Drosophila melanogaster: one gene and its partners. The protein of the gene in region 4 interacts with the protein of the main gene of each other region in a pairwise test. Each region holds a gene or a part of one and is shown on either strand. Other genes may lie near its edges.

What was found.
Region 1: the proteins of CG5327 (region 4) and yellow-g interact in a two-hybrid assay, tested with the Drosophila melanogaster proteins (one large-scale study listed by BioGRID).
Region 2: the proteins of CG5327 (region 4) and witty interact in a two-hybrid assay, tested with the Drosophila melanogaster proteins (one large-scale study listed by BioGRID).
Region 3: the proteins of CG5327 (region 4) and CG15529 interact in a two-hybrid assay, tested with the Drosophila melanogaster proteins (one large-scale study listed by BioGRID).

Annotation. Positions count from the first base shown.
Region 1 is NT_037436.4:2,268,344-2,276,605, forward strand, and holds yellow-g (yellow-g), read right to left. Parts: upstream 4,427-8,262; 5' UTR 4,349-4,426; coding exon 3,908-4,348; intron 2,797-3,907; coding exon 2,600-2,796; intron 2,166-2,599; coding exon 1,622-2,165; 3' UTR 1,538-1,621; downstream 1-1,537. Other genes in the region: obst-I (obstructor-I), read left to right, coding at 1-186; CG32302 (uncharacterized protein), read left to right, coding at 497-1,438; yellow-g2, read left to right, coding at 8,255-8,262.
Region 2 is NT_033779.5:8,334,497-8,343,522, reverse strand, and holds witty (without maturity), read right to left. Parts: upstream 5,237-9,026; 5' UTR 5,084-5,236; coding exon 5,035-5,083; intron 4,944-5,034; coding exon 4,858-4,943; intron 3,340-4,857; coding exon 3,213-3,339; intron 2,660-3,212; coding exon 2,358-2,659; 3' UTR 1,467-2,357; downstream 1-1,466. Other genes in the region: CG14273 (uncharacterized protein), read right to left, coding at 1-140, 534-594.
Region 3 is NT_033777.3:30,148,753-30,155,732, forward strand, and holds CG15529 (uncharacterized protein), read left to right. Parts: upstream 1-3,306; 5' UTR 3,307-3,428; coding exon 3,429-3,642; intron 3,643-3,890; coding exon 3,891-4,267; 3' UTR 4,268-4,336; coding exon of another isoform or gene 4,337-4,467; 3' UTR 4,468-4,528; coding exon of another isoform or gene 4,529-4,853; 3' UTR 4,854-4,947; downstream 4,948-6,980. Other genes in the region: CG11498 (uncharacterized protein), read right to left, coding at 4,337-4,467, 4,529-4,853, 6,002-6,131, 6,307-6,980.
Region 4 is NT_033778.4:18,612,568-18,620,357, reverse strand, and holds CG5327 (uncharacterized protein), read right to left. Parts: upstream 4,371-7,790; 5' UTR 4,308-4,370; coding exon 4,221-4,307; intron 4,162-4,220; coding exon 3,997-4,161; intron 3,918-3,996; coding exon 3,720-3,917; 3' UTR 3,415-3,719; coding exon of another isoform or gene 3,236-3,414; 3' UTR 3,204-3,235; intron 3,159-3,203; coding exon of another isoform or gene 2,621-3,158; 3' UTR 2,041-2,620; downstream 1-2,040. Other genes in the region: CG5493 (uncharacterized protein), read left to right, coding at 2,621-3,158, 3,236-3,414; CG5323 (uncharacterized protein), read right to left, coding at 4,600-4,788, 4,886-5,050, 5,111-5,197; mRpS28 (mitochondrial ribosomal protein S28), read left to right, coding at 5,415-5,693, 5,755-5,876, 5,934-6,117; CG10927 (uncharacterized protein), read right to left, coding at 6,149-7,231; CG42697 (uncharacterized protein), read left to right, coding at 7,663-7,790.

The DNA of each region.
Region 1 (8,262 bases), on a different chromosome or scaffold from region 4:
TCTGATGACGACGAGTTGCCCAGTTCGTCTGGAAAGTGCCAGCGGCTTGGATTGTTTGGTGATCCCGCTGACTGCTCTGGGTACTATCATTGTCGCGAAAAGGGCAGTGATATTGAGTATTTCAGATGCTCGGTAGGAACCATCTTCAATCTAATTTCCTTTGCGTGCGTTACTGGAACTTGTTGACCCAACATATTATAGTTATTGTAGCTAGCCTATCTTGGAATAAAACTGATTAAAACTGATTAAACTATTTTCAATGAATTCCGGATTTATCAGTTCGCAGTTTCGATGATACTCTTCGAATAATTACAATTTTAGCTACGCTTAGTAAGTTTTCTAAATTTATTATTACGTCGTAAAATTTTGGTTCTTTATCAAATCGATAATACCTAGAGAAGCTTATCTGTTTAATTAAGAAAAAGACACTTGCCTGGCTGATTAGGTGGTGCTATAAAAGCTAGTCCCGCAGATGACCCAGCCAACAGTCTTCAAGATGAGGTCTTCAGTACCGGTTTGTCTAATCCTGCTCGCTCTGGCGTTGGGATCGGCGTGGGCTAATGATAATCCCTGCCAGGATGTGCGCATTCCCGGCTTCGTTTGCATGAACTGCACCACCTTGGGCTACTGCATCCGCGATGCCACCGGCAGCTGGGAAACGATTTCGATGCTGGGCTGCCAATCGGAGTACAATTTCTATTGCAGCGACGAGGGTACCTTCGGATGCACCTTCCAGTCGCAGTGCCAGGTGCCCAAGAGAGGTCCCTTCAGCTGTCAGCAGGCGGGCCTGTTCCCGGATCCGTACGACTGTAGGCGGTACCACGAGTGCAGCGATCAGAGTGTGGACACCCCTCGCATCTGCTCCAACGGAGCGGGCTACTCCACACTCACGGGCACTTGTGTTCTGCCACGGGAGAGTGAGCAGTGCATCCAGGAGCAGTTCACCTGCAGTCGGTCGGGACAAGTGGGTGGATGGGCGCCCGACAATCGGTACTTCTACGTCTGCGTCAATGACACGGCCAATTCGCTGTATCCGCTGATGATGAAGTGCCACGAGGGATTCGTTTTCAACAGCTACAGCTGTGTGCCCGACACCAGGAGCATGAGGAGCATTCAGGCGATGGAGTCCCACACGTGCATGAACAACGATAGGTACCAATGCCCCTTCCGAACCTCTGAGATCGAGTACTGCAAGTGCGTCGATGGAGAACTGGAGGTGATGACCTGTCCCGCCGGCTTCCAAATTGATCCTAAGATCCTGACCTGCGTGACTGATAGGATCTATCAGTGCTCGGACTTTGAGATCCTCAGCTGTCCCAATGTCTCCACCAAGGATGAGTACTGCATATGCATCGATCACCAGCTGCAGATCTACAGCTGTCCAATGGGACAGTATTTCAATGCTGAGACTCGAAAGTGCCAATCAGAGTCAGAGTAATGAATTGTTTTCATGGTACCAATATTGATTCAAGTAAATGCCTATTTAAAAAATTGAAATCATTCTGAACATTTTAAGATAAACTACAAATAACTATAAATATTCACCAAAATTTTAATGAGACCCAGTAACGACAACAAATCAGTTTGAATCTTAAGCCTAAGAAAGTGGAGGGATACGGACTCAATCGTCACATTCCCGCACCACAGGATGCAGGACGATCGAGGCTCCGTTGCAGCCCGTGCGATCCGAGATGAAATCGTGGAAGTTGCTCTCCAGCGCCCACATGAATCGCTTGTGACCCGGGAGCACTTGGGTGGACAGCCGGCAGTCGCCTCCCCGCTGCACCTCCTGCAGATTGGCGGCCTTGAAGCAGGTCTCCGAGTCCCACAGGTAAATGTCGTTCTCGCCCTTGTAGCGGAAGAAGAGCGAGGTGCCGCCGTCGGCGCCCAGCAGCACCGCCTGTTTGCCATAGGGCTTGGGGCCCACGTCGATGATGGAGCCCGCTCCCTGGCCAACGCGCAGGTACTCGCCCTTGATGGAGTACAGACGGGGGGAGCTCAGGTAGCTGAAGAACAGGGTGGAGGTGCCGTCCGGCTTCGAGGTGAGCGCCACGTACAGCACATCGCTGGTGGGGGCGGTGGCCTTCGGCAGGACGATGCGGTAGGACTTGTTGCCGGTGATGTCGTATACCAGGATACTACGTGCTCCAGCATCGGCCACATAGCTATGGTTGAAAGTGAAGGAAATATAATGTGGAATGAGATTAGATATCATGTATGCAATACAAATCGATTTTATTTGGTATATGATGAGCCACACTTCTGAGAACTACCTTGAGCAGATAAGATATGAGCCTCAAAGTGGCTAATGCCCTTTTGATTGGCTCAATGATCGCTGATTGAAAGCATGATTGAAAGTGTGTGGTAAAAGTACTCCAAACTCTTGATTCAGTTCGATGATTTCAACGAATATTTTATGACTGCAATATGAATCTCTGAATATCATTGTGCTGATAAATAATGGTTAGTAATAATGGTTAATAATAATGTAATGTGTGGTATTAATTTCATAGTTGATGTATTTCAAAAAGTGATTAAGTACAACTCATTTCACAGATGAAGTTAAGGGTAATAAAAGAGTATAGGCAATGGAACTCACACGAATGGCTTGTTGTCCTTGGAGTAGTCGACCACGATGAACTGCAGCCGACTCTCGGAGGTGACCAGGTCGCTGAGGTCGATGCTCTTGACCACCTTGTGGTTGGCCGTGTTTATGGCCACGATCTTGGGACTGCATCTGCGGATGGGCTGCTCCAGGGTGTTGACAATGCCCACGTCCAAGGCCCACAGAAGTCCCTGCGAACGGAGAAGGCAATTATTAATTGCTATCAATTGCAGCTCGTGTTGATTGTTGTTAATGTTTTCATTTGGCGGCTAATTGAAATGTTGGCGGCGTTAAAAATTCCACATTCGCAAATATGTGGCCATAAAATGAGTATCAGCGAAAAGCACTGAATGGAAAATTGCGCAAATAAATAAATACAGTCGCCTCGTTTGTTTGCCGTTTGTTATTGTTTCGTCGACTTTTGTGTAAATAAAATAAAGAAATGATTTGCATAAATGCAGCTAAACGGGAATGGCATTTAAATGAGAACGATTCGACGCCAACAATAATTGAAGGAAATTATTAAGTTGCAGCTTATGCTCGCAATCGTAAGTAGGTCATGTAAATATTTAATAGCATCATTGTAATATCTGCGAATGCATCTGTCATTTAAAATTAAAGCTGAGAACTTCTGAAGTGCAATCGAAATGCACAAAACACGGCTGGATGGCCTGTTCCCAGCATTTCCAAAATTATTTTCGAGAACTTTTCACTGCATTTGCTTGTCACTTTTCAGCTGCAGTCCTTGTCCTTTATAATATTCCATTTACCCCACAGCTTTTTCGGCGTTTCCGTATCCGTTTATTCTACCCTTAAATTGCTGCCGCCAATTGACGGGCATGAATTTTATTTGGAGCTCTTCACTTTTGTGGCCCCGTTTATTTGATTAAAAAAGTAATATTTGGTCGACAGCGAGGCTAACCAATTAAAAAAGTGCGTCCGGCAAGGGGTTAATGCGAAAACGATACCCTGGAGCTAAACTCCCGATTTTGATCGACTTTGTAAGGGCTAGCAAATATTTAACACTGCGACTGCACATCAATATCAATATCAGAAGATAAACTAAATCATTTTTAGAAAAAAAAAGTGAATAGCCCTAAGAGCATTTCAATGCTACCCTGTAATCCACCCACGATACAAATATGAATTAAACATTTGGTGTGGGTTAAAGTGCTATGCCTCCATGGTGGCCAACAACGAGCAGTCCGTAATTAAAGGCAGAACTGGCAGTTTGGACGAGACAACTTGTCTGACCCCCAAAAAAAAAATGGTCCAAACAATACTGGCGTTAATTGCACTCACATTCTGATCGACGGCTATGTCCACGACGGACTGCAGCGCCTGGCAGTTGCCCTCCTCCTGAATGGCCCAGCAGGGATAGGGTGCGATCTTGGTCAGGCACTCGCCCTTCTTTAGATTGACCTTGCCGAGAGTGAAGGGCACGCCCTGCTTGTACCTGGGCAGCGCCACGAAGGCGGAGTCCCGCTGCAGTTGGGCCCGGGTCACGATCACGTTACGGGGCACATAGCGGCCGGACTGGACGTAGATGTTCTTGGTGGACTCGCAGGGCCAGTGGAGGCTGCTGCCGCTGAGCTGGAAGGTCAGTTCGTTCAGCGGGTTCTTGTCGCACTTGGTGCCGCCAATGGAGTTGGAGGCGTCCGTCGACTCGTCGGTGGAGGAGCTGTATCCCGCGAGGACCACGGAGGCCGAAGCGACGAGGAGCAGCAGTTGCAGCTGCGACATTTTTCGGCGTTTCTTTCTGCGCTTTCCACAAACAGAGCTTCTGCACTCGATTCACCACGTTGGCCAGAACATAAAACTGTCTGAGCGATGGTAGACCTGCATTTATATATAATACCCAACGACTTATGCAGCCAGCATGTGGAGCGTGTTGCGGCAAGGTCGTTGGTTGCTTGACACGGGGGGGAACAAGTGTCTGTCTGGAGTGGCTACCACCCAGCCAGCACGTCTGGCCCACGCCGGAAGTCGGCCAGACCTCTAAGCCCGCTCGGTTTCTAAGCAATGCGGAAAGCGATGCGGAAATGAAATGCAAACTTAACCCCTTCCCTCTATCTAGATTACACGATTCTTCCTAAGCCATCCAAATCAAATTTAACTCCCCTGGTTTTTACTTTAATTGTCTTGATAACAGTTTGTTCTATTATGGCAATCTATGCCTGTCTAATTAATCACTTCTACTCCTTTTATTGCTCTTATTTTCTGAGTATAACTTTGTGCTATTATAGCCATTTATAGGCAGCTAATTAGTCACTCAAGTCCGTTCAATAAAATGGGTTCAAGTTGCGAAATAGCTTCTGTCACTCATCGATCGCTCTTGTGCATCCGACAGAGTAGCAAGTTTCACCCCTTGGCAGGCAAAGTTCAGAGGTCGCTGCGAAACACTTGCCAAAGTGGCCCAAAAGTTCAATATCAATGCTGACGTCTGTGACCTGCATATCTGCGACCGAGAAAGTTTCAGTTTCTTGGCTCGAGTTACCAGCTATTTTCGGATGACAAAAACATCTGTCAGTCCGTCCGTCTGCAGCTAGCTATCAGTTTGCTTTTGGGGGAGGGGGCGGGCGAAAGGAGAAAGTTCGGGGAGTTGGTGGGGCACATTACTCGCAGATAAGATTGCAAGTTGCCGGAGATTCGTCGTGTGAATCACACCCACAGTTTCGCGGAACAGTCACTCTGTTCCAAATTGATTTCATTTCTATTTTAAGATAAATGCAAAGGCGAAATTTTATCGCATCAGGGAACTTTAAAAGGCGCTCTGAGTTCGCCATTTTCAAGTCGGGGGTATAGCTCAGGGGTAGAGCATTCGACTGCAGATCGAGAGGTCCCCGGTTCAAATCCGGGTGCCCCCTGGAACTACATTTTTTGCCATATTTTTTTTTGTTGGCTGCTCAAGTCTCTTTGTGGACTTTGGTGGACTTTTTTGCACGTTGATTGCGGGGGGATTAGAGGTGTATCCGCCCGACGTGGTCGATGACCCCGTTAACTCGTAGAAACCCACATATCGCCAAGCGGCGAATAAAAAATCTTTGACACATTCGGGCAAGCGGTGGAGGAGTCGGTGTCCAGCTGAAGAGTCTTTTGTTTGGGACAGCTCGTGCAGCGAATTATGGACAGCACTGGGCTTACATTAAATCACAAAATGTTTAATCTCCTTACAGCTGCCCATCATCAAATGACCATCGGCGGGTCAACATTTTGATAACCCATTCATCGGGGGTCAGACTGGCTGCTCCTTCCGCATGGCGGAATGGGAAGGGTCTGTCTATAATGCCAAATTACATGCAGATTGAATTTTTGTGAATTCCGATTCAATAAACTGCCATGGGTCCAAACCCCCCTTCCCACGATCGTAATCCCCCGATTTATGGCACACACATGCCCAAAAGCAGGCGGATGTGATAAGTGCTGTGATATGTGGGCGGGATTGTCAGTCGGGCCGAATCTGTGGATAAATATTTATGTGCTCCAACATAAATAAAAGCAAAGTATGCAAATGGAAATTTGACGATGCTAAGACTCTTTTACTCTGCAAAAACAGCTTACAGATACGATTATGGCAAAGCTTGAAATCAGCAATCATTTATTCATCTCTAGACTTTAAATGATTAAGATATCAAAATCGACCATTCACAATAAAATTGTGTATTGAAACTCAACAAATTTGGCAACATATTCCATGGATAGTGTATTTGTGTATTTGTGGGAACTGTCCGCACTCATTTGGAAATATTTTCTCCTTGATATCGACAGATGCGTTTAAATGGCAAATGTAAACTCATTGATAGCACATTGGGTGCAAAAAGTGAATGTTTCATATGCACACACAGTAGCAGCGGGTTGCCAAGAGCAATTTGTCGGATGAATTCAATGAATTCAATTATTGCAAAACAATTAAACCAAGATGGGCCACTGGATAAAGGCAATAATTTATGGCGATTGCAAAAGGTTGAGAGCCAATGTGGACAACTTTAAGCAGACGTAAACAAAACTTGGCCGACGAAAGAAAGCCAGCAAAGTGAAAGCAAAGCACATAAATTAGGCGAGCGGCCAAAAAATTATGGGAAGATTAACTTTAAGCGCAGCTGATGACTTTTTAATACCCTGTACTACAACTGTAAGCCCCTGAAAACTTTCTGTGATAACCAATTTAAATCAAATTACCTATATATTACCTATAGCTAGTTAACTATAACTATCATAAAAATACTATTTTAAATGACGTTATTAATCCACCCTGGAGTTCAGCATTTCCAGAAAAGGTTGGTCTGAATTTATGTGAAATTCCCGGTAAAGAAAATCGCTTTCCTCAGCACAAAGTTAAAAAAGCATAAACCTCATTTGGCCCATTTACCAAAACAAATCAAACGTGACCACAGACAATTTTTTTTTTGTACATTTTTCCGCTGCTGCGGGACAAAAAAAAAGAACGACAAATTATTGGCTTATTTGCGTTTTCAATTGGATTTTTATTGGCACACATATAAAAAGTTGAACTTTGCTTTGTTGCGCAGCGCGTTTTAAAGAAGTCGCACATAATCCCCCGACTTTGCAGATGACGCATACGCCCCGTTAACGGGCCATAAACAAGAACTGTCAATGTAATGTGTGGAGAACGTCCTGCGGAATGTCTGGCCATGGTTTTGCCGAGCAGTGAGTGGAGTTTCCCCAGCTAATGGGGGTCAGTCGGCAGTCGTCCGGCAGTCTCTTATCTACCCCCCAAAACTTTTTTGTTGCTGGGAGGTAAGTGTTTACATAAATTATGTCAGATGAGCAGCCCGGAAATGCTTGTCATCAATTTTTTGCGCTCCATCTATGTATGTATATGTATATATGTGCGCTTGTCTCGTATAAATCATTCTGGTGGGTGGGGAAAAAGCCAACCGGAATGCGGGTTTCGGCTGACAATTTAACATGCCAAACACGTTGGTTTTGGTTTGGGGCGATTCCGGGTTGTCTGCCCGTATCGAGGGCCTTAACCTATTTAGGGGCAATTATGGTGATGGAAATGGCGAAATGGCCCAGGAATTCTGCAGGGAAATCCCGGGGATGCTGAGATTTTTCTTTCACTCCTTCAATCACTCTTTATGGGCCAACTTATGGCTGGCAAAATCTCAGATTGAGGTCATTTTGTTGCCCGCAATTAATTAGCTAAAAATATCGCCACCAATCTGGAGACACTTGTTGGGGTTCCGTTTTCAATTGACTGCAATAATTGCAATGCCATTTTTATGGTCGATTGGATAATTGCGGGAGGAATGTGTCCTTCGCCTTGGTCCTTTGGCTCCATTCGAAAACTTCCCTGGCTTCTGTCCTGGGAATGGCTGGCTTTTAGTTATGTAATGGAATTGAAACTATTCAATTAATGTATACAAGTTCATATTAATAGCACAAGTTAATGATTTAATTTCAGTCATAAATGTCATTAGTTTTTACCATCGTTTACTGGTTAACTCTTGCCAAGGTCATAAAGTTCGCAAAAAATCAGTTTAAAAGCTAAGAATTGGGTGCGAGGCACGTTGCCGTCTTGTGGTCAAATTCTATGGGCTGTTGGGTTATATAAGCACGCCACTTGGCCAATTTGGGGAGCAGAACGCGCACGTCGCTGCCGCACCATTAACAATTGCTTCCACGATGAGACT
Region 2 (9,026 bases), on a different chromosome or scaffold from region 4:
ATTCGTTTCAGCTGGTGATGGAGAAGGAGCAGGATTTGGTTTCGTGCTGGAGTTGCCGCCCATCAGTGGACTCTCACACACTTCCATTTCACTTAGCTGCGTATTTTCATCGCAGTCTTCACATTTGTAGCAACGCAAAGCTGGGCAAAGAAGAGATTTTAAATAAATATTAAGTAAAAATAAAAATATGCCACCTTGCTCATAATATCATCTTTAATATGGATCTTTAAATCATTTTAATATTTTTGTTAGTTTTATGCCAATAACATAACTATATGCATAATATGAAATGCAAAATAAGGTTTAATTCACAGTGGAAATTCACAAAAGGAAACATGAACCTATGACCTTAAAAGGGCACCCGTGAGGGTGCGCCTTATCAGCTTCACCTTATCAGCTGGATTACCCAAGCAATAAGCGCACCCCTCTGTTTGGTTCAACGTTGCGTATGCGCAACTTTTTGTAACTCGCTTCGGGGTCAATCAATTAGCATACGGTGTAGGGCTTACACCACTCGATGATTTATGACATACCTGAAACACATGGGCCGCAGCCAACGAAAGCCACTAGAAGTAGAAGCCACAAGGAGCGCATTCCGGGCAGGTTTATGATGGGGTGGTGAATGGGGAGTTTAAAACTTTCAATTTGCCAAACGTCAAAGTGTCAGAGCATGCAACTTGCCCAGATTGAGCAGCCTTCTATGGATATATTTTCTATAAATTTATTTATTTTTTCACCGCTCCAACGTCGTCGTGTCAGCTACCGAAAATTCAAATTGAACTGGCACAAAGAACCTTCCGGAGTCTGCTGTTTGCTTCATCAAAAACTGAATTTCATAGCCATAAATGTGGGTTTGGTGGACTTGTGGGGGGTTGACACATGATTTGCGGGGCTGGTGAAACATGTAGTTCACGGGAAGCAGGAAAAAAAAACTACATACGACATACGATAGCATCGGCCCAGACTTTCAAATTAAATGCGAGAGACAGGGAAAGCATGATGGAGCGACAGAGGTCGAGCTATTGATAAGCGGGCGTAGGAGGCGGGAAAAACTGAAGCATCTTTTACATGAGTAATGGGAAAATTATCTTTGATTGCGGAGCACAAGTCCAAAAAGGAGCAAAAGACAACAAAAACAAAATATTTGATATGGGCTGGGAGTTTTTTTTTTGTCACTCGAAGAGTTGGATACCGTTGAAAAGATAGAAAGTAAGTTAGAAAGTAAGAGGTATTACGAATATCGCGCATACGCTCTGTTGGCCTAACGCAACAAACAAATATAAAAATAAATATAATACAATAATTTCATGGCAATCAATATTCTTGTTATGAATTGAATATACTTTTTATTGCATTGATACTTTTTTCCAAGCTCCAGTAACCCAGATACCCTTTATCTTGATGCCAAGACTGTTATAAAAGTCATCGTTATCGGCTATTAAAAAATTCGCACTCCAAAATCTTTTATACTGTCATACAGCATTTATTGTGTGCTCGGAATGTTCAATTTAGTTTCCATTTCAAAAAACGCTTACAAACTAAGCAGAACTGAGAGCTCGACGCGTCGCAAAAAACATATGGTACTATATAGTTGTTGTTTGTTTTTAGCCGATTTGAAGCTCACGTAATAATTGTTGCATTGCTTTTCGTTGACATTTTCATCTAATTGCACATTTACTAACATTTATTGCATTTGTTTCACGTGATTCCTAAATTCGCGTCTTGCATTAAGTTGATTGTTTTTGCTTGCGGCTTTTACAGTCAATTTACGTACTATCAAATTTTCAATATTCTAACACGAATTCATTGACTAGGACATATAAGCACTTTGGAATCATTTAGCACTTTTCAATTTACCTAAGAAATTATATGAGAATTAAAGGCAATTGGTGAATTCCTATGCACATCGCTCCAAGCCATTAAAACTAACAATCTGAATAGTAACATAATAAAGCTGAACAACAAGAGCTAATGGCATAGAATGCCATTTTTATATTGATATATAGGATGTATGGTTAACACATATCCCTACTCTTTATTTTGCCGGTATTTATTTTGAAAATCGAAAGTTTCATATTTGTTTTGAATCAAAGCGAACTTTTCCGTGTGTGTTTTCCTTCCTCTTGTATGTACTGTATCGGTGTATCGTGTGTGTGTCTGTGCTGTGCTTACATTTCTAGGGTTAAGGGAGTAGGGGGTTAATGGGGTTAAGTAGTGTGTGCCATTGAAGCAACCTGTACGAATCAGCGACATTGCACTCAAATATTTACAAAGTAATCAAAACCTAAATGCAACCATCATGCCACCACTCGTTTCACGGTTATCTGTCCATATCCCTCACACACCATCCAACTGGCTTAGCAGCCCAATTGGAGCGCAATCATGGCCAGAATCGTAGCCAAGGAAAGCGTTACGGCCGCCGCACCATTGCAGCGATGCGATTTACAGATGCCGCAGAAGAACGCATCCTCTGCGGAGATTTCGTCATCCTCCTCCGCATCCTGGCCGTGACCCTTCCTTCGCTTGTTTTGGTTGCGATTCCGCTGCTCCCGCTCCTCGGGGCTCGGGATGCGAAGCTTGGTACGCAGGATCTCGCAGGCATCCGAGTCGCCGGTGTCCAGTTGGCAGAAGCGCGCCGTCACCACTTTCCTTGTATCAGCTGCGAAAAATAGCAAGATATCGAAATTTAAGAACTAGCTCAACTTAGTTGGGTTTACTTAAATTCACTTGATTTAAATATTTATATACAATACATCTATATATACAACTATATTTAAAAGGTTAAAATCTTAATTGAAAATTCAAGTGATTTGCTCATAAATTAAAATGACTGTAGTACAAGTAAAGTTCTCGTAATTTAATTTAAGTATTGATGTTTTAGAATCCTTAATATTGCCAAAGGAATGTAACAAATAAACTTAATTGCTATTGTCATAAAAAGTAAGTGCTTTGAATAAACAATCTGTGTCATGTGAACTATAAAATTTTTCGTTATCTTTAGGGCTTCTTTTATTGACATTCTACAATAGTCGCACTGCAAATTGCAGCTTTATTTCTAACCATTTGATAAGAATCGCTTATTAGCCATAAGAATGAGTCAAGTTGCTGTAAAAATGTGATACCATTACTCAAGTGAATTTAAATCTATGTTAAAAATATTAAATTATATTTGAATATATTTGATATTTTATACTTCCTAAAAAAATACTCACGGTCTTTGGCCACAACTTTTTGGCAATTCATGAGCGGACTTTTGTTGGCGCCATTATCGAAATATGAGAACTTATTCAAGTCAAATAGCCAGGTGTCCAGCGATTTCATTTTGTCCAAAGTGCATTCCTAAAAAATATTATCAGCAATTTAATCCGGGGAACAACGAATGCCTATTGTTTGGTTAATCAAAGTATTAATTGCCATTGCACTCGATGCGTAAGTTATTAATCTTATCGACGAATCATTCGGCCATATCGTTAACGATGCGTTTTCCGAATGGCCTTGGTATCCAGACCAAGACCACTTGAACTCTATTTGTTTAGCCCAGATAAGAAGTGAAATAAAACGATTCTTGGAAAGGCTTAGGCGTTAAGGTATCAGCTTTTTTTTACCGAGAAAGGGGAAAACCCCATTTAAGTTTTCAGCGATAAAGTGGATAAACACCTTAAGTGCTCCATTTAATAGGAATAACTAAATGACATTGTCACATTTGTTGTTCTTTTTGCGATTTAAAATCTTCAATACGATCAGACACATAAATTGAGGGGATTATTTTGGCGCATCTAATTTGATTTTGAATTATTTATTTTGACACAAAATTGAGTTTCGCTCACAATACAAGATAAGATTTCCGTAATTAATAATTCAGGCCATTAATAATCAGAACATTTTGCGCCATTTGGCTGTTTTGTGGCTGATTATTCACATCTCTGATTTGACAAATGAAATAAATTTTAAGAATTTACTTGACGTCTCTAAAAACAAATTTGGCTATCATTTCCAGCAATGATAAGAAAGTCGCACGGGACTTTCAGCGAGTTTGACACTGAGTTTTTTTTCGATGTTCTAGGAAAGTTATTGTTTTTGTGGAAATAAATCAATTAACAGTTGTAGTTTTACCAACTTGATTTAGTGATTCATTAACTTAAGAAAAGAATAAAAAAAGTTATTTTCCGATGTCAAAAACGTTTAACTAAGCAGAAGAAAATTCTAGACCACTTAAGAGTCTGGAAACTTCTTTTTCATATCCCAAAAGCTTTGAAACTATGTTCTCTTGATATTTATTTTTTAATGGTTTTAATTAAAGTGCTTGGCAGTAGTTTTGGTAGCATTATAAGCCAGTTGAGCTCAGGTGTCGCCACTTCAAATCAAAGTAATTCTACCAACGGGCAACTAGACACCTACAAGAACCTGTCAGCTTGAAATTTACGTTGTTGGACTTTGGTTGAAAGTTGAAAGTATTTCAACTGTTTGGCACGTGGCCGGGTTAAGTAGCAGTCAACTAAAAACGGCGATAGATGCCAGTAACAGAAAATTCAGTTAGCCTGAAAAAAAGGGGAAAAGTGGGTTGCCACCACAAGAGGACGACGACGGAGCACGTTTCCGTTTCCGCTTTTGTGGGCTCCATTTCCAACCGTTGCTTTGTACTATTTTTTTTTGTATTTTGCTAGTGCAAATTTATGTGCCATATAGCTTTAACTTGCGACCGTCTGGGCCAAAGCTTTTGACTAAGAACTAAGGTCGATTTGAATGCGATTAGGTTTGAAAAGGTTGAACCAACTTGACCTGGCAACCCAGTGGCCCGCCAACAGGTCACAACAGGCCAGTAATCAATCAATCCTAGCAATCTGCTTTCCAACTCACCTCCGCCACTATGCTGGAATTCGAGCCCAGATCGGCGCAACTGGGATTATCACTGGAATCGCAGACATAACACCTGATGGCTGCGCCTGTGGGATATGCAATATACATTTGTACATTTTATCATTTTAGGAATTTCTGAATTTACAAGCCCAATAACCGCAGGCAACACACACACACCATTTGAAACGAGGGCCAATAGCGCCAGTGGCAATAGGATTCCCGGCATGATTCACACAATAATTTCCTTTCTTTGATTTATTCCCTTTTCGTTGGCAGATTTTTCAAATATTTTCTGGCACTCGCGCGCTGTGATTTTCTCGAATTTTCCGCTCCAAGACGTTCGGGAGGTTCTGTCGCTGCCGTTGGCCAAAGGCAAACTGAAATTGCTGGCCAACTTGGCGAAGGCAATTGCCAGCAAAAGGACGACGACTACGTCATCGTTTTTGGACCGATCCGAATCGAAACGAAACGAAACGAAGCGAAGCTGCTCGTCCTGCGTCCTTCGTCCTGGGATCCCTTTTGCCTGCGTGGGTGCGTCGCTTGAGTGGCTCCTGATTCCGACAGTAATAACGTCTTGGCCGCCCCACATGGCAGCAAAGGAAAATTTATTTAAATTGCAAAATGCGAAATGCACCAGCCCAAACCAAAGATGGCAACTACTCGTCAAAGGAACAGCAGCAACGCGACGGAAAAAATGCAATTTCCTTGTGGCCAAACACTTTTGGCCTCTGCACCGCGGCTCAACACCAAAGCCAATAAGATATCATGGCGAAAAAATTTGAATAATAAAGTTTTATTTCAAAAAATAACTGAGTAAATAGAAAATATTGGATAGCCATATGCACAGGGAGAAACTGTTCCTCTTAATTTGCAATGATTTTCTTTAAAGTTATGCATCACAAAAATGTTCTTATTAAGTTAAGAAAAGTGGTGAAAGGTATTTGTAATTGAAATGCTTGCTACTTTTCATATTCGATGAAACTTTTTAAGTGCCTTTCAAATTATAACAACACTATCCTTTTAATAACTTCAGTTCGTAGTTTGCCACTGAAGCTCAAATTAAATTATGTATTCATAAAAAAAAGCGCGAAATGAGTAGTTTTGCAGCTCCAGCGAGATTCTGCTAGAATATGAGTGCCTGGAGTGCAGCGAAAACGTGGGAAAACGAACTGAATGAAAAGGATGCAGGAGGGTGGTGGGGGGTAGATGCCCAGAGGAGATTGGGTGGCAGCAACAAAGCGCAGCAATTAGTGGCATCCAAGAGCGAAAACTCATCGGCGTTCCTGCAATGCGGCTTCCCTATTCTTTTCCCTGACCTCGTCGCATGGCCACAGGACGACATCCCGGGCGTGGGCGCACATTTATCGCCAGCTCACGGTTGTCCTCACATACAGGAAACCGCATCGCCACCAGAAACGCCCCACTCCACCCCGTATCCGAAACTGAAACCGAATCTCAGCTCTTTCATATCTCCCGCGGGGCAGAGCAGCTGGCAAGCGTTTCCATTTATCATAAACAATGCAGACCGTGATTGGTGTAGGTCGCGACCCTGGCCCCAAAAGCCCACCAAAAGGGTTAGCTAATGGTGCCGCTTGTGTTTCTGGTGGATAATAAAGGAATAGTCGCGTGGCTGCAGGTGGTTGGGGAATTGCCTTCAGGCACTCACTTTGCAGCAGTTTAAAAGCAATCTTTAAAGCTTCAGTGGATCTTTAAGGAATATTTACTTGTTTTTTTAACCAAACCATAAGCTTATCAGATAATTGGGGCCCTTTCTCTAGAAAAACAACTAATAAAAATCTAATTCAAGCAAACAACGCAAGACAAAACTTGTGGAATGTTAAAAGTTTCAATTGTAGCAACTTTATTAAAAGAGCTAAGTCGAAGTAATCCACTCCTGCAACTCCCAGCGGAATTTCGAATTAGCGCCAATTGCAATTATCCTTTGGAGAAGCGTAGTTTCACTACTTTTCGCTGGCCGTGGGCCATAAAATCGCAGCCTGTTGCACAGGGAAAGGTAGAATAAAAACGAAATCAGAACCAGACCAATTTCACTACCAAATAAGGTTGCTAGTGGCAAGGACACATTCTGAGCTTTCTGGACAATGACGATGATGGCATCCGAGTGTTGATGTCATAATTCCCGAGGTGTTCGGTGAATTCTCCGCATCGCATGTTGCCACTTCATTTGCTAACAGCAACAGGACATAATTAAAACTGTTTATGCACGCTTCCGTTTCCGGTTGGCATTTCATTTCACTGGTTTCCCTAGAATGTAAGGCATTCATATGCTTTCGACTTTTACAACTTGACACATTTTCGTTGGAACTCGACTTCGTTTTACAACCTTTTTATCTTTCCATCGAACCGTGCAAATCGGAAAATGTACTTTTTCTCTCATTCTTTTTTTCCAGTCTGTTTTACCATGGTCATAAATTTTGTTTTGCCAAAATAGTAAAAAAACGCAACAACATTTTTTTGGGGTCAAAACTTTGTGCGCTGTTGTGGATTTCCACCCACAAAATGACCTTTAATTAGTTGAAATTTTCGCTTGGCATGCTAATTGAAAAACTTTTTGCTTCTCCACCGCATTGATGAAATATTTACGGCTGTGTAGTAAAACTGTGTCAGACAATCCTATCCAGACGTACCCAGTTGAAGCTATATAGTCACAAAAGAGAACCCGAGTCGGTAAACGTTGGACTTCTGTGTTGACTCTAGTGTAATTAAGCTTTATTACGTATACGCACCGTTCCACGCACTTTGCCGCCGGTTCCCGTTGCCAATTAGTTTGTTCAACTGCCAAGGACGTTGGATAACCAATTCCAGTTAGCTGCGGTGCTACCAATAAACATAAAACTTTATCGTTGCCTATATCTAGCAGCTTCTGGGCAAATCAATCGCTTGCAAATACACTTGCAAGTGGTGGAGAGTAGGAACATAAAAAGAACTGCTTGCACAATTGCAAAAGAATCCTACACACAGTTCGTGGGGATTATTCTGCACTACAACATATGTGTGTGCTACCAGTGAAGGTATTTTATGGCTGATTGGGGAATTCAACCGGCTTAAACTCAAATATAAATAAATTTCAATTGACGTGGAAAACTACTTTTCTGTAGTAGCATGTAATATATAGGTAAATGTATTTGAAAGGATAAAGCTCTTTAAAATGGTTTAATTTAGGTAAACCGGTTAATCTAAGAGGTGCCCATCAATCTACTTATAATATAGCTATAAGCTAATCGGTTCTGGTATAAATCCTTGTTATACCATAAAATATATGTATGTATTTAATTTACCTATTTCCCTCGGAATCACTTGAACAATTGCCAGGCCGATCATCTCCGGAATGCTGAGCAGATGAAATCAATTTGGCAGGCAAACAATGCCCAAGTACGTAATTTTTTCCAGCAATCACTTGCACTTGACTGCCATCGCCGTTCAAGCAGCCTCAGGTGGGCCGAAGGCAAAAGGAAAATCGACCAGGAAAATGCAGAGATTTCCTGCTACTTTTCTCGCTCTAAACTTACCACGAATTCACAGGTCAATGAGCCAACGGAGCACGGAGCATGCTGGGCGAAATGAAAAAGCGAAGCAACTCGAAGAACTATGGCAGCAATTTGTGGGTGTCTGCCATGTGCTGCATGTGCCACAGGAATTTGGGAGCAAGTGCAGCATGGCATCGCCACCATTACCATTATCAACAGCAATCAGCTTTTGAGAGTTCGTGACAAAGACAAAATATCGTTGCATACTTCTAGGTGGCTAGTGAAAATATTTACTTCGCATTGCGTATACGCCACGATGGCTGCGAAACGTGACTCAATGTGCGCTTTGAATAATAAAAACATATTTATGTGCCTTTGGCAAGAACAAAGCCAAGTATAAATCATGCAGCTGATTAACATGCGGAATTTGCGATTCGCTCTAAAATGCTAACAAATGGCAAAGACAAGGAAAGCTTTGCTGAGATTTACCACTGGCAAAACAAACAAACAAAGCTGGTTTAGTTCAAATAACCAGCATAATCAGCTTAAATTTGCTTTGTGTGCGAAGAGCAAATAAAAGCAAAGAAAGCATTCAACTCGATTTTGTGACACCATCCACCGCAGAATAAAGAATTGCATTTTTAAATTATAAACAAAAACTTGAGCTTCCATTAATTATAA
Region 3 (6,980 bases), on a different chromosome or scaffold from region 4:
CAGGTGAACTTTGTTTATTGATGCACTCGTTCCGCTAATTTGTTTGCTCGGGATGATTTAATGGGCTGCCCGCTGACAGGGTCAAGGGTGGGTGGACATGCGAATGGATATATGGAGGGATCCGCATGGATGTGCGGATGGATTGATATATGGCTGATGGTGATGACCGGAACTGGATGTTATCAATTAGCCAATCAACAGGACATGCGATACGTGCAACAGGTGAAGACTTTCCCCGCTGCGAAAAGCAAATATTTAGTTGCCTTTGCGGTTAGCATAAACATAATGCTGAGTCCGAATTTTATCGATTTTCTTTTTCGGCTCTCTAACATATGTTCTTTTTTCGTTTGTTTGCACTAGCACTATATATAAATTAAAGTAAACTTTGGGGGTAATTAGTGTAGTTACCTGGAATCGAAGTTGGATTTCCAGAGAGTGGTCCTAAAACTAGAAGGAGGAGCCACAGGTGGTTTTATATATCAGAGAAACAAACACCTTTGCGAATTCATAAATCCGCGATCCAATCACCTGTTGCGTCTTGATAATCTCTCTTTGGCTCTGTATTATTTTCTTATAGCCCGAGACGCTAATTCAATTGACACTCTTTCGGGCCTCGCTGGGTTGCCATAAAAACTGGATGGAAAACTTTTCCAAGCTTATTTAGTTTGGCATTTCATTGAGACGGAACCGCACAGACACAGGCACACACGCACCGGATTTGTTTATTAATTTTATTATTTATTTTTTATGGCATTCGAAACTGAATTTTAAAACTTGATACCGCTGCGATATGCGATTCTCCACTGCGGATATGCGAAATATCCACCGCGCTGGCCAACGCTCGACGGCAAAATGCGCGAATGAATCGCACGGATAGCAAGCCCAAGCAGTTGGGATTCGGGCTCGGGATTTCCGAATCGGGTAACCCAACTGGGGGACTTCGGGAAAAGTGGACGAGCCCCCGAGCTGCGGACTGCGAGCTGCGGACGCCTGTTGAGTGCTTGGAAAAGCGCGGAGAGTTGCAGTTCTACGGCTTGGCCTCCGTCCGGATATAATCGTAAACGAAATATGCTGGCTCTTTTCTTTATAGCTATGATTTGTGGCTGTCGCCGAGATTCCGCTCGCTATTTCTGGCCGCCGTTTGTGAACGTTCTTTACACTTTCAATGGCACTCAAATATAATTGAGACGTAAACCGCGATGGGCAATATGTATTTTCTTAGACGGACCAATAAAGAATCGACGGGTCTGCCAATCAATCGGCATCCGCTCATTGATATTGATGGCCCAGCTGGTTGATCCTTGGCTTCGGAGGGGTACTACTTTTCGATGCGGATGTGCCCAAGAGCACGCAACCCCCGAAATAATCGTTTGGCCAAAATCAATTTGTGCCATTGTGCTGCTTTATGGGCTGTCATCCCGGTATAGAACCAGAAGCCCCCATAAAACCCCCATCGATCCATCGGCTTGTTAGCAGTTCATCAAAATTGTTTGCCGCATATTAATTGCCCGATGTTGGGGCTGCTACTGTGTCAAGCGGAGTGCGATCGTATTGCTCGAGCATCGGGTATTATTAATGCCCCCATACTACAATATCATATCGGACCATCACCATCGACTGGGAATATCGTTTTATTGACATTTACGTGCACGTGACTGGCCTGCGAAGATGTTTGCCTTCTGTCTAGCGAATAGTCACTGCTTTAGATGTGCAAACAAAATCGCGATGCTTGCTGCAGCCAATCCGGCGTATACGTAATGAACTGAGCAGCACTCTTTTTGCCCGGATCTGTAAGTTTTAGAACCATATCTATGGGTCCACGTGCTGGCAATTTGCACGCCCATTTTGGGTTTTACAAGGAGATTTGAATGCAATCGATTCGGAGCGTAGTCAGCTCGCACAATTTATGACCGCACTTTAATTGCTTTTGAATTTTAAGAAATATTTAAATTGTGCGAGAGACAGGGAAGTGCGAGTGACAGAGACAGCGGGAGAGCTTCACCACAGCCGTTGGTAAGCTTACGGTAAAACTTCGAAAGGTTTGTGTCTCAGCTAATGCTTAACGCTTTAAATGATTATTTAATCTTTAACATGGATAATTTCCTTGTAAAAATAAAACGATTATTTTGGATGGAAAATGAGAAAAACTAGTTGATCAAAATAATCCATGTTTCCAAGTGGTTTTTTCAATATTTCTTGACTGAAAATGGTCGTAAAGTAAAAATAATTACTGTTTTGTGCAGCTAATTACCAATGCTTACGATCCCTGTCCCGTTTTTTCGAATTAAGAAAAAAAAATTTTTTTGTCAATTTTCGAATTTTTATAAGGGGTAACATCATCAAATTTTGCAAAAAATCGCAAAAATTTAAAGTTTCCAAATTTGAACACTAATCGATTGGGAAGTTAATTAGGAGTAAAATAAGATATGCCACTCCACTTTTGAACCATTATTTTCAAAGTTGTGTCCAAAAAACGCATTATTTTTTAACCAAAAACAGGGAAATCGAGCTTGGACCAAAAAGTCATATTTACAATTTATAGGATTTATAATTATAGAATTTTTTGAATGCCTATCAAATGGGACTTAACCAGCACTATCAACAGCTCATTAATAAAAACAACAGATCAGCAAAACAAACTCAGTTCTCAAACTTTTTAGCAGAGCGGGCAAACGGCTCAGATCCATATGTTGGCCACTCGTATCCATTCGGTCTCGGTTATGTAGAGCCGCAGAAATGCGATATGGGGAACCCCTCCCCACCAAAAATTGCAGGCACATTCAATGAATTCCACAGTCAGTCGGAAAAATGGTGGGGGGGGGGGGTATGGAAAATGCATGGGTGCTAAACGTTTAATAATTGTCGTTGCCCACATGTACACTGCAAAGAATTGTACACTCAAAAATAATCCTATTTTCGTTATGTACGTTTAAACTGCGTTCTTTCAGTGGATCTCTCTATATATAAAGACATTACAGATAATTAAATTGTGAGATATTAAGCACAGAAAGGTTGACTGCATTTCTCATTGTGTATAAGAACAGAGAGCTGATCTCCCCACTGCACTCGGAGTATCCAGTTACTCGCCGGGCTTCAAACTATCCGAGTTCCCGCGTTCTTGCCAATGTGAATTTTGTTTACCAGCCATATCCATATCTTATTTAAATATGAACATTTCTGCCGCCCCACAACCGAGCAGTAGACACATTTTAATTAATAAGCACTGCCAGACGAGACGGCTTCTGTTCTCGGGCTCTGAATTCTGGGTTCTGGTTCTGGTTCCTCGTCTGGTTCTGGTCACAAAGTAGTCAGTCTTCAGCGCAGCTCGATAGCGAAAGATGTTTGCCGGGAGCGGCGGTCTCAGTGCCACCGATCCATCTAATCCAAGGTCGCGGGAATAGGACTGCTCTACTGTGTCGTTTGGCGCCATGTGCTGCTGGTGTGCACGTGTCTACTGGACGGTTCTGCACAATCTCCTGGCTCGCATGATGGACAGCCTGATGGAAGTCAGATCGCCCACCTTCTGTAGCTGCTGCTTCGGTTATCAGCGGCAGGCCAGTCAGGAAGGTGACGTCGCAGAACGGGTTTCCAGCACCGACGACGATCCACAACAGCAGCCCCGTGAGGATTACGTCATTGTGGGTGAGTACGCATCGATCTCTCGGTTTCAAAACAAAGCCAAATCCCCAGAGTGACGGCATATAAACCAAAACAGAAAGCACGATACAGTTCGTAGAGCTAAATTTAACTCGAATTTAAGTTTAAATGATCGAAATTTGATAAATAATAGATAACTACAGAGGCATAAATTAATGTAGAGTAATACTCAATTAGAAGATTAAGCGGTAAATAGGTCCAATTACTAATACAACATTTTTAATTCCGCAAAGACGATGCCGATGTCAACTACGCGGAGATTGAGGAGAGGCATGTGGAAAAGGAGCAGTACTACTTCACAGTGGATCGTCCTACGGCGGAGCGAATGCTCCATGGACGAGAGGACGGGTCCTGCCTGGTTCGACCTTTCAAGGCAGCCGACCAGTGGATCCGTTACATAGTGAGCATCTGGGCGGCGGATCAGTACTATCACCTGTTCATAAGGCAAGTGGATAGGAGACAACGCTATGCCATTGGTCAGAAGAAGTCTCAGGAGCGCTGCTTCGGATCCCCCTCGGAAATCGTGGAGTTCTACACGGAGCATCCACTTCTCTGCACCAACAAGGTCCGGAGCCAGTGCGTCCAACTCCGTCCCATCAGTTACGCTTAGCTAGGGGTCAAATCTTTATTGCATAAGAGAGGGCAAGTATGTACAAATGGGGTTAGCTTAAGACGATGCTCAGGTGGCCACCACCGCCTTGAAGGCGCACTGGTTGTTCTGCATCAGGGCGGGCCAGAGGAAGGCTTTTATCAGATCCGATCGCCGGTCCGCCTGGGGATGCCGCTCGTGTTTCTCGGGCCTCAGGAAACCTGCATGGGATTTACGTAGGTGTAAGATTGTTAAACGATTAAAGAGTAGCTTAAAACCCACCCAGGTTGAAGTCCATGTCCAGGTAGTACGGCGCCTTCTGGTTGATCATCCTCCAGGCCAGTCGGACACAGGCACTGACGTAGTGCGTCAACGGGGGGCAGGACTCCAGGCAGGGGTACTCGTGCAGAGTAGATAGCACCTGGTTGAACACCGACCGCTCGATCTCGCCCAACGGGAAACTCTCGGCGGTCTCGAAGAGGTGCTGGCGAACGGATCTGTCCAGGGACAAGGTGGTCTCACTGCTGCTGTCCAAGGGGCAATTCAGGACTCGCCGAACTTCCAGGACCTTTCGCTCCCGCATTCCGTGGCACAGGCGGAAGGAGAGCTACACAAGTACCAATAAGTTAAGAAAATTATCAATTAGATGACTATCTAATTAGACTTACTTATGAATGAATAAATAGTTTTTCGAAAATCATAAATATGTGACTTATTATTATCAACTAATCTTGATGGTACCATTTCCCTGCAAAAGTGTCGTTCATCTGAGATCGAAAGTGATTCAAATCCCAAGCGCCTACGTAATTTTCTGACACCCTGGGGGCTCCACTTTCCCTCACATTTTCACTGCACCAACGCCTAATCATCCTCTAGTGCGAATTCGATCTTGCAAAATTGATATTTTGCAATCGCAGTTTGTGGTCCGACAGGATTTAAAGCATCCAGAGCCCACGGGCTTGGCTGGAAATAATTGATGGCCAAGCACTTGAAAATTGAAAGTAATCTTCGCTGGATGAATTGGTCTCACAGTTTGAGAGTCATTGTGCTGTGCTAAATTTCCAAACGAAAGCAGTGCAAGCAGTTCGTACGCTGAGCTACTTCAAGATCAAGTTTATCAGCTTTTGACCTGCCAAATGCCAATTGGAAGAGTTCGTCCCAATTTTAAAACAATCGCTATTTTTTCACTTTTGACAAGGGCTTTATTCTATTTGAATAGCCTTAAGAATTGTATAGAAAAATATCTATTAGCATTGTAAAGTTAAAGTGTTATTGACATGGAATTGGCACGCTGAAAGATTATGAACGCCCATAATAAATTGAGGCTATTCATCACAAATAACTCCGTACTGTCTTGACAAGTGAAAACGAAGGAGATAATTATAAAAGTAAAACTATGTTGCTAGCGATTTATATTCCAAAGACAAGTGAATGATTGACTGGCAATAATTTCTCCTCATGATTTAATCTCAAATTCTTTCTCAGCCACCTAAAGTTTAGCAACGAAATTAAATACAACGTAATACAAATAATGGTAGCGAACACACCCAATAGAAAACTTACTTATCTCCCAAAAAAAAAAAAGTGAAAACAAGGCCGACTCGCAATTGGCACTAATTTCTCCCGATCGAGGTAATCTCGAAATACGTTCGGCCTCTTTAACAATCCATTATTGAGTGTTCGGACATATCTACTGTATCTACAATCTACAACCCATCCCAAAACACATACGAATGCTAGGTACTTCAGACTCACCACGATCATGGAGAAGAGTATCTTCCCCTTGAGGCTGTGCGCGTGTTTTATCTGGGGAAGACTGTCCAACGCCTCCAAGGCGTCCGCTCGGTTCTCGACGTAGAGATTCCGATAGAGCGACACCATTTCGCTGTGGAGATAGAGAAATGGAATCACAAATCAGAGTGTGGGATGCGGGCAGGTGAGAGTTGGATGCGGTCGCGATCTGATTTGACTGAGTTTGTAATGTGGGTGTTGCACCTTATTGGAACTCGGTCAAGTGTAAGAATTAGGTTTTGTATGTATTCTTTATGTATGTTTTTTACCTGCTGTCATCGCTTCCAGAGTCGTCCGAGTGATATCCATCGCTGCAGCTGCTCGTGCTAGCGCCGCCTGGGGGAGTGGTCTTTCCAATGGAGTGGGAGGAGCCCGGAGGACCTCCTTCAGGGCCCATCATGTGGAGCACCACCTCGCAGCCGCGGGAGAAGTTCATCAGCAGACCGGCGGCAGGGCGTTTCTCCACGAGCGCCTGTGCGTCCAGACGACGCACCTGACCCACGCAGGTGAGCACCTCCTTGTCGTTCTCCACCCGCGTGCTGAGGTTCTCGACCAGGGTTTGGAGCTGCTTGAGAGCCGGCTTGTCTAGCATTGTGAGCAGGGTCTTGTTGTCGATCAGTCGCTGCTGAATATCCCCATAATTGATGGCCAACAATCGTTGATGGGAGGAGTGAGCAGGGTCTTGGTTGACAGTCACCATGCTCAGCTCCTCCAGCTTGTGAATGGCCATCTTGTAGGTATCCACATGGCGTTGCAGCTCGGTTTTCAGGGCTACATGTAGGGAAATAAGCTGACCCGAGGCATCGGTGGTCAGTCCATGGACCCCAAGACCTTGTACAGCGTTATCAAAACTGCGTCTTCTTTCCCTCAAAGTCTGCCGGAGCCCTGGTTCGTACTGAGCCAAGGCCTGCAGGAGTCGAGTGCATCTCTGCCGGAGTCCTGA
Region 4 (7,790 bases):
GCTGATAAGAGCACTCATTTATAGGCGAAAATATTATTCTGATCTGAGAATTCCCATTTTTGTGGTTGACAAATACCAAAATATTGTTTTCAATTCCCGATCGGTCATTGAATATGTTATTAGCTGCATTATTCAAGGCGAAAACACGCAAACAAAGATGAATGTTCGTATAAAATTGTTTTGGGAATATGCAAATGATTTACATAGTGGGCCAGGTATGCGAAAAGAATAGTTCAAAGTTGAATAAACCTGGTTAGAAAGCCACGAACTAATCGCATATGTAAATTTGCTTATTATGTCTCGGTCAAAGTAGATGACATCCTAGAAATACGCTCACAAATGTTATACTTTAAAGAGATATGTAAAGTTAAAACTATATTTTTAGTCCAGGAATATAAAATGTTTAAATTTTCATTAAATGGTTGTATGAAAATTTACCACTTTAATTTATCAAAGTGGTTTTAGGCCAAGTGTTTTGAGCTGAACAAATATTGGCAACAAGTACTTGACACACAATTCGTGTGCGTTTCCAAGCGATTTGATGATAAAGCCTTTCATCATTTTGACCCCAGGCCAAAATGGAGCTAGAGAATTCCATCCACTGGCTATGACAAAAGGCTCCCGGCCATTTCTCTTGGCCAGAAAAACAAACAAGAAAGAAGATCGACCGAGAAAGAAGAAAAAAAAAACGGCACGACTCCATAATTAATAGTTGGATTGGGGGAGAAATGTATTGAAATATATCTGGCCGCTCAACCTCGGATCGACATGGCGGTGGTGGTAGTGGTGGTAGCATAAATTTCGGGCCTGGCCAACTGAGCAAACAACAACAAGCCAATTTGGAGCGAGTGAAGCCGCTTTGAGTTTGGCTCGCGGCCCCAAAAAGCGCTCAAAATGTGCTCAAAATGCCATTCGAGCTGCGATGCCTCTGCCAGCGTCGCCTTTTGTCACTCGAATTGCGTTTTGAGTGGTTAACCGGGGTTTGCTGGCCAAGATCTTCATAAATTGGTGAAAGATACCCAAAACGGGCACATAAGCTCGGCGACGCGCATCCAAGTGGCAACTACCCAGTGAAAAGTCGAAAAAGTGCAATACCAAGTCCTGAAATTAAAAGTGTTTTTAAAAAGTGAATTTCAAGTTCATAAAAAATTATTCAGTTGCCATAGCTAAGAGAGAAATTCCAAGAAGTCAAACAAAATGGTAAGTCCTTTATCCTTCAAATCCCTTTCCCTGCTGAAATTGTACGAAAATCAGAAAATCAAACTTAAATCGTAGTTTGTTGAACTGTTTCGAAAATTGGCAACTGCTTTTCACCAATTTTCCAAGCTATTTGTTCGCATAATATTTACGCAAATGGCAGTTCGCAGCTTTTAGTTTTTGCTTTGACTTTGCTATTGGCCTTAACCTGTTGCGAAAGTTGGCTGCCAGCTTGGCAGTTTATGCTTTTTGGCCATTGCAAAACATTTTTCAAATACCTTGATGTGGCACCAAGGGGAAAAGATTTAACAACATTGCATGGGGATCGTAAAAAAGTTATTACCTTTAATGCAAGCTCAAGTGTTTTATTTATTTCGAGTTTTCACCTGAAGTTATATAATTAAATTTATGAGTTCAATTCATATCGTGTTAGGAGAAACAATGACAGAATCATTTTCTTTGTTTAACATTTTAATGGAGAAAGTAAGGTCAGTGTGTTAGTCACTAATTAACTTCCTGAGTAACAAAGACACGACTGATCTGCTGACAAATGGCAGGCAATTGAGAGAAATCTGTAACGAACCTGAAAGTAGGCAATACTTTCTCGAAACAAAAAGTATCTCAAAGTGTTTCGGTTAACTATAATCCAAAACTAGAGAAAGTCGCGGTTCTTTTTTTCAAATGAATTTGCGGGAAAATCCCGGCTGGTAAGACCCGCAGATCTTGAAAGCAAATTCGTCAGCATCCAGATTCAACCAGCTATCAGTTATCAATTGGTATATTAACGTATCAGTGACAATGCCCGTATCGCCCAAATATTTTTTATTGTCGGCTCCAGAGTATATTGTGGAATAAATTTGTTTTTTATTTGCCAAACGATCCCATTAGATCGCCGTTAACCTCTTGTCTCAAATTCAGGCACATCTGTTGAGCCCCTCCTGGCAACATTCGATCTATCATCATCTACTGAGAAATACGTGTATTATATAGCCGAGGGTATTGGTAAAATCTGCTATTGATAAGTTGGATGGACGGTTATCGCCGGCGACTTCTTGTTTTTGTTATTGTTTTGGACTTGCGCCTCCGATTTACGTCGGATCCGAGCTGATTATGCAGCCTGGACAGGAGAGCGAAATCTCCAGAATTCAGTTCGAATTTTGCGATCCGAGGTGGAGCGTGTGCGGTTAGTCGAAGCAATTCAATCAATTGTAACAGCAACGAATCGGAATATTCATATATATATATACCAATAGCTATTATCAGCGATCATCGACTTTACAACGTAATTCATCTAAATCAATTGAGCAGTGATCTTTATAGACTTTATAGGTAGTTTTCCACGCCCTTCAGCCTCAACTGATGCACCACCACTCTAACTTCCGCTTCCCTTTTCGCAACCTAGGTCAATCAGAGCAAGCCCAAAATGGCCCTGTCCAAGATCGACACCGAGATCGAGCAGGTTGACCAGGAGAAGTACCTGCGTCAGGCCACTAGCTACTATCAGCCGCTGGAGAAACCCCTGAAATACGGACCGGAGGTGAATTCCCTATCGGACTTGGTGGCCGCCCTTCACCGGGAATTCGAGTCGAACTATGTTAACATCGAGATGGTGAATCACCTTATGCTCAGCTACAAGTCCAATCCGCGGGAGTGGCGCAAATATGCCAAGTTCGATCGTTACACCTACACGCGGAATCTCGTGGATGCTGGCAATGGAAAGTTCAATCTGCTGATTCTGTGCTGGGGCGAAGGACACGGCTCCTCGGTGCACGACCATGCCGATTCCCATTGCTTCATGAAGATGCTGAAGGGTGATCTGCGCGAGAAGCGCTACGAGTATCCCAATAGATCTGCCAGGGACAACGGCCGGTCCCATCATCCCGATGGCGAGATCGATAGCCGAGAGCTGGTGGAGATTGGGGAGACACCAATCGCCGTCAATGATGTGGCCTACATAAATGGTGAGAAAATTAGAAACTTTAAAAGTGGGGTATTCCTATACTTACTGTTTTTTTTTTTTTCGTTTTGTTATCCATAGACAATCTGGGTCTGCATCGCGTGGAGAACCCCAGCCATTCGGATACCTCTGTCTCCCTTCACCTATACTGTCCACCCTTCGACACGTGCTCCGTGTTCCAGGACAACCTGAAGAAGACCACCGCCAAGGTCACCTTCTGGAGCAAATACGGCGTGAGGACGAAGCAGAACGAGCAGTAGATCCATCAAGATCCTAAAAATATAGCCTCTCGTATTGTTGCATAATACTAAGAATCTTTATTACTAGATATTTAATGAGCTAGGGCCTAAGAAGATCCGGGAGCTGAGCTATCAAACATGGCGAGCAAGGGCCACGTTGGCGCTGATAAGTTCCCATTCCAATCCATTGGCTATCCCGGATCACAGCAGCGATTAGTGTACTTTAAGTGTTAGCTGTACCAAAAATATTCAATAAATAAGTGAACCATTGACAACTGCTTGAATGTGCTTTTTTAAATGTCACCAGATCCTGAATTGCATCCCGGTTAGACATCCATGTTGCGTGATCTTTTCGGCGGACCCCTGTCCAGTGTTTGCTTGATCGACTTGAGCAGACCAGGTATCAGGTTTATGTACTTGTCCACACAGTTGTTCGTGCAACTCTCAAACATGTGCTGGGATCGGGACATGTCCCGGTCACTCGGATTGCTGGGCATCTGAGACCGCGCATCGCTGTTGCAATCCTGCGGGTTGGCAATCGTATTAAAAATAGGATATATCAATCCAATATTAAGCATTTATAATTATAGTTTAAGCTCCTACCCTAACGCAGTTTTGAAGTCTATTCTGGAATTGGCCCAGCTCGTGCTGCAGGAAATCCTGGGCATCCATCAGGGGACCGGCGCACTTCTCGATGCAGTTCTGTACGCTCTCCAGCGTCCCTCGATCATCGTCGCAGCAGCGGGCGGCACAGCGGTGCATCGTGGACTTGGAAACAACGTTCTTACCAGAAATTCATAGTAGGCAAGTGGAGGCCACACACTCACCTGCATTCTGCGCAAGTGGGTGCGGTACATGTCCTCGATCATTTCGCTAATGGCGCCCTCCAAGCGCTTTTTTTGTTGCTCCACCATTTCAATTTAAAATTTGAACAATTTCGAAAGAACAAAACAAAATGTTGAATTGACAGTTTTCGGTGTACAAAGTATGTTTATTTTTTTTACTGATGGCAAAACTTGACATTCTTCCGAAGATTGTTAGCACAACAGTTGTTGGTTGCTGCTTAAGACTTTCAACAATTAATAAGGTAATTTTTGTTCTATATTCTTAAAAGCAAAATTTGAAATGACTCCAGAGATGGGACTCATTGCACGGTTTTAAAATAAACGAATTCAACAACTAATTATGTAGTAAATGCAGGTTGAGTTAGACTTGGGGAATGCTCTCGGGTCCCTTGGAGAGCACAGCCTTCATGGTCTTCATCATGCCGGGAATGAGGCCCACATGCTTGTCCACACACTGGATGGCACAGCGCTCGAATTGGTCGGTGTACTTGGCTATCTGATCCTCATTGGGACTGGGCGGCATTTTCACCTTCACATCGTCGTTGCATTGCTGCGGAAGAGGAGAATGTGAAATATGAGCGTTGCCTAATAATATTCTATTATTCTTAGAGCCACCAGGGCAAAAAGTTGGTGCAATGGATACTAACCATGACGCAACGTTGAAGTCTGCCCTGGAACTCGCCCAATTCGTGTTGAACGTAGTTCTGTGCCCTCGTCATGGGCGCGGAGCATCGATCCACACATCTCTGGACACTGTCCACGCTGGAGGTTCCATCCTGGCAGCACTTGGCCGCACACAAGTGCATCTCATTCTGGAATTTCGTGAAAAGCAAGTCAGTTTCGGGATATCCCCTAAAGCGAACTCCACTTACCTGCATTTTGCGCAGGTGCGTCTTGTCCATGTCGTCGATCATCTCCGTTACCGCGGCCTCGATTTTCTGGCGCTGTTGCTGGATCATTTTGCTTGTTTAATTGTTAATTACCTACGTCTTACAACCGATTTCGTAATATCAAAATAAATGCCGGCAGCGTGTTTTTTGTAATATTCGATTAGTGATGAGCCGACGCAGCTGCTAATAATCGATTAGCAGTCTATCGGTGCCGCTCTTCTTCTTTGGTTTTCCACTTGGTTTTGGTTTTCTTGTGGATATTTTTGAGCAATATTAAATTAAAACCATGTCGCTCTTGCAAAAACTAAGCAGATCTGGTGTACCGATGGCTTCATTAACCTGTCGTTCCCGAATGCCAATGGTCATTCGACTTATCAGCGGTAACACAGAAAAACCGGCGGAGGAATCTACTCCCGCAGTGAATACGGAAACGGCGGAGATTGGCAGCAGCAAGGGAGGATTCGCCCGTGCCTTCGACAAGTACACGGCACCAGCCACGCCTCCACAGCTGCCGGAAGACAACCAGACCTTCGCCTCCCTGCTGCGCAACTCCAAATTAATTGATGTGGGTACATTATTTAAGTAATCCCATTGTTTATGTAATAACTTGTTGATTTCTGGAGCAGCTGGACAACGCCGAGGGCAAGGTGGTCAGTGGCAAGATCTTTCATGTGGTGGGCGATGATCTCTACATAGACTTTGGTTGGAAGTTTCACTGCGTCTGCAGTCGTCCAACACGCAATGCCAGGTGAGTTCAATATAATTTCCTGTCTCTTTATCCAATAAACCGCCTTTCCTACTTCAGCGACTATGTGCGAGGAGCCCGTGTTCGACTGCGCATCAAGGACTTGGAGTTGTCCACCAAGTTTCTGGGTTCGTCCAAGGATATTACCATTCTAGAGGCAGATTGCCATTTGCTGGGTCTCCTGTCCACGCCCACCCGCCAGTCGACGGCCAAAACAACGCCGAAAATCGAAGATATCCTATAAATCCTTTATTAAAACCAAGGTTTGTTAAACGTTACGTCAAGTCTTCATCCTCCTTGGTTGTGAACTGGAACACTTCGTAGTGATGGTTGAGTTCCCGCACCGAATGCAGTTGGAATCTCGTGGCTAGAGCTCCGTTTTCAGAGTTCTTAACGAAAAATACTCTTTTCGCCCTGCTATGTACCAGGGCCATGGAGCACATAAGGCAGGGTTCCTGCAGCAGATAGATATCGTAGCCGGTGCACAGATAGGGTCCGAATTTGGCCAGGTTATCTGCTCCTTGAACTGCGTCCACTTCTTTGCATTCTCTCGACTTTTCCGCTCCGAATGTCAGGTCTTTGTAGTCTTCATTGTTCATCAGGTAATCGTAGTAGGCTTTAGGAATACCCCGCAGAGTGGTATCCTTCTTGAAATCTTCGGTGAATGTAACCTCCGTTTTTGTGGCGCCTCCTTCTTGACTGCGAGCCACAAAATCGACGAGCATCATGCAGCAGTGCTCGTGCGGCCTACAAACTTCACCAGTTCCAGCAATGGACACAATGCTGGGTTGTCGCGGATCCACGCAGATGCCCACCGGACGATTGGCATTGACATCCCGCGAGAGCCTCACAAGCAATTGCCCGATCCTTTTGTGAAATGTGCGTTGTGCGGAGCTAAAGTTGCTGCCATTCCTCAGTGACTCCGAGTAGTGATTAGGGTGAAACTTGCAGGGCCAGTGCTTAAGGGTCTTCTCGTACTGCACCCGCAGTCGGGGCATCCGTTCCGGCACCTCCACCACCCGGACTCCCTGGCACAAAGCACGGAGCACGTGCTCCGAAAAGGCAAACTGTTCAAGGTGTTGTTCCAGGCTTTGAGACACTCCGATCTCTGAGCTGGGACATATGAGCACGCTGCGATCCTGGACGCGCTTTAGGTGTTGAAAGTGGGGCAATTTCTGTGAGAGCTCCTGGATGACCGCCTGGAGCTGCTGTTTCGTCTCCAACTCGCAACTGTGCGCCTTGATGAGCGCAATATCCTCGTCGAACTCATCGGAGAGGATGGCCCGGATCCCAGTTATGTCTTCATCCAGATTGGGTGATTTTCGAGCACGTTTGTTTGGTGGCGCGGATATATCCATTATTTACTTAATTCTTCAATTAGAAGAATGCCAATTGGAATCGATTGAAATAGGTTATCGATAAGTGCCAAGCGCTGGCGTTGAAACAGCTGTTTGGATATTAAGCGCCAACTTTGAAAAATGTCTTCTATTTAAAATATGCATTTAAAAATAATTTAGTGAAAGATTATACGTTTAAAAGTCTTTAAAGCTATTTAGCTTGGGAGCTGTTTCAAATATTTCCTACTTTTGATATACATTCCCTAATACTTAATCTAATCAGCTCAATAATCTGATCAATTGTCTAATTTGCATTATAATTCCTTACAACCAATATCTTTTTTGATGTCTACATGTAAGCAGTGCCCAGTCTGATACCCAAAGTTTAAATTCAAAATTCCAGTGAAATATGTGCTTGTGATTTCTAGTCAAAACTTAGAGGAAACATCGAAATGTGTCTGCGCTTGTTTTGCGGCTATTTGTCGCTTTACATTGGCTGCATCTTCATCGGCTTCACGGGGATGCTTCTAGCTTTAATGGTCTTTTCTGTGGGTCTATTCGAGATGATCAAGGGCAATCC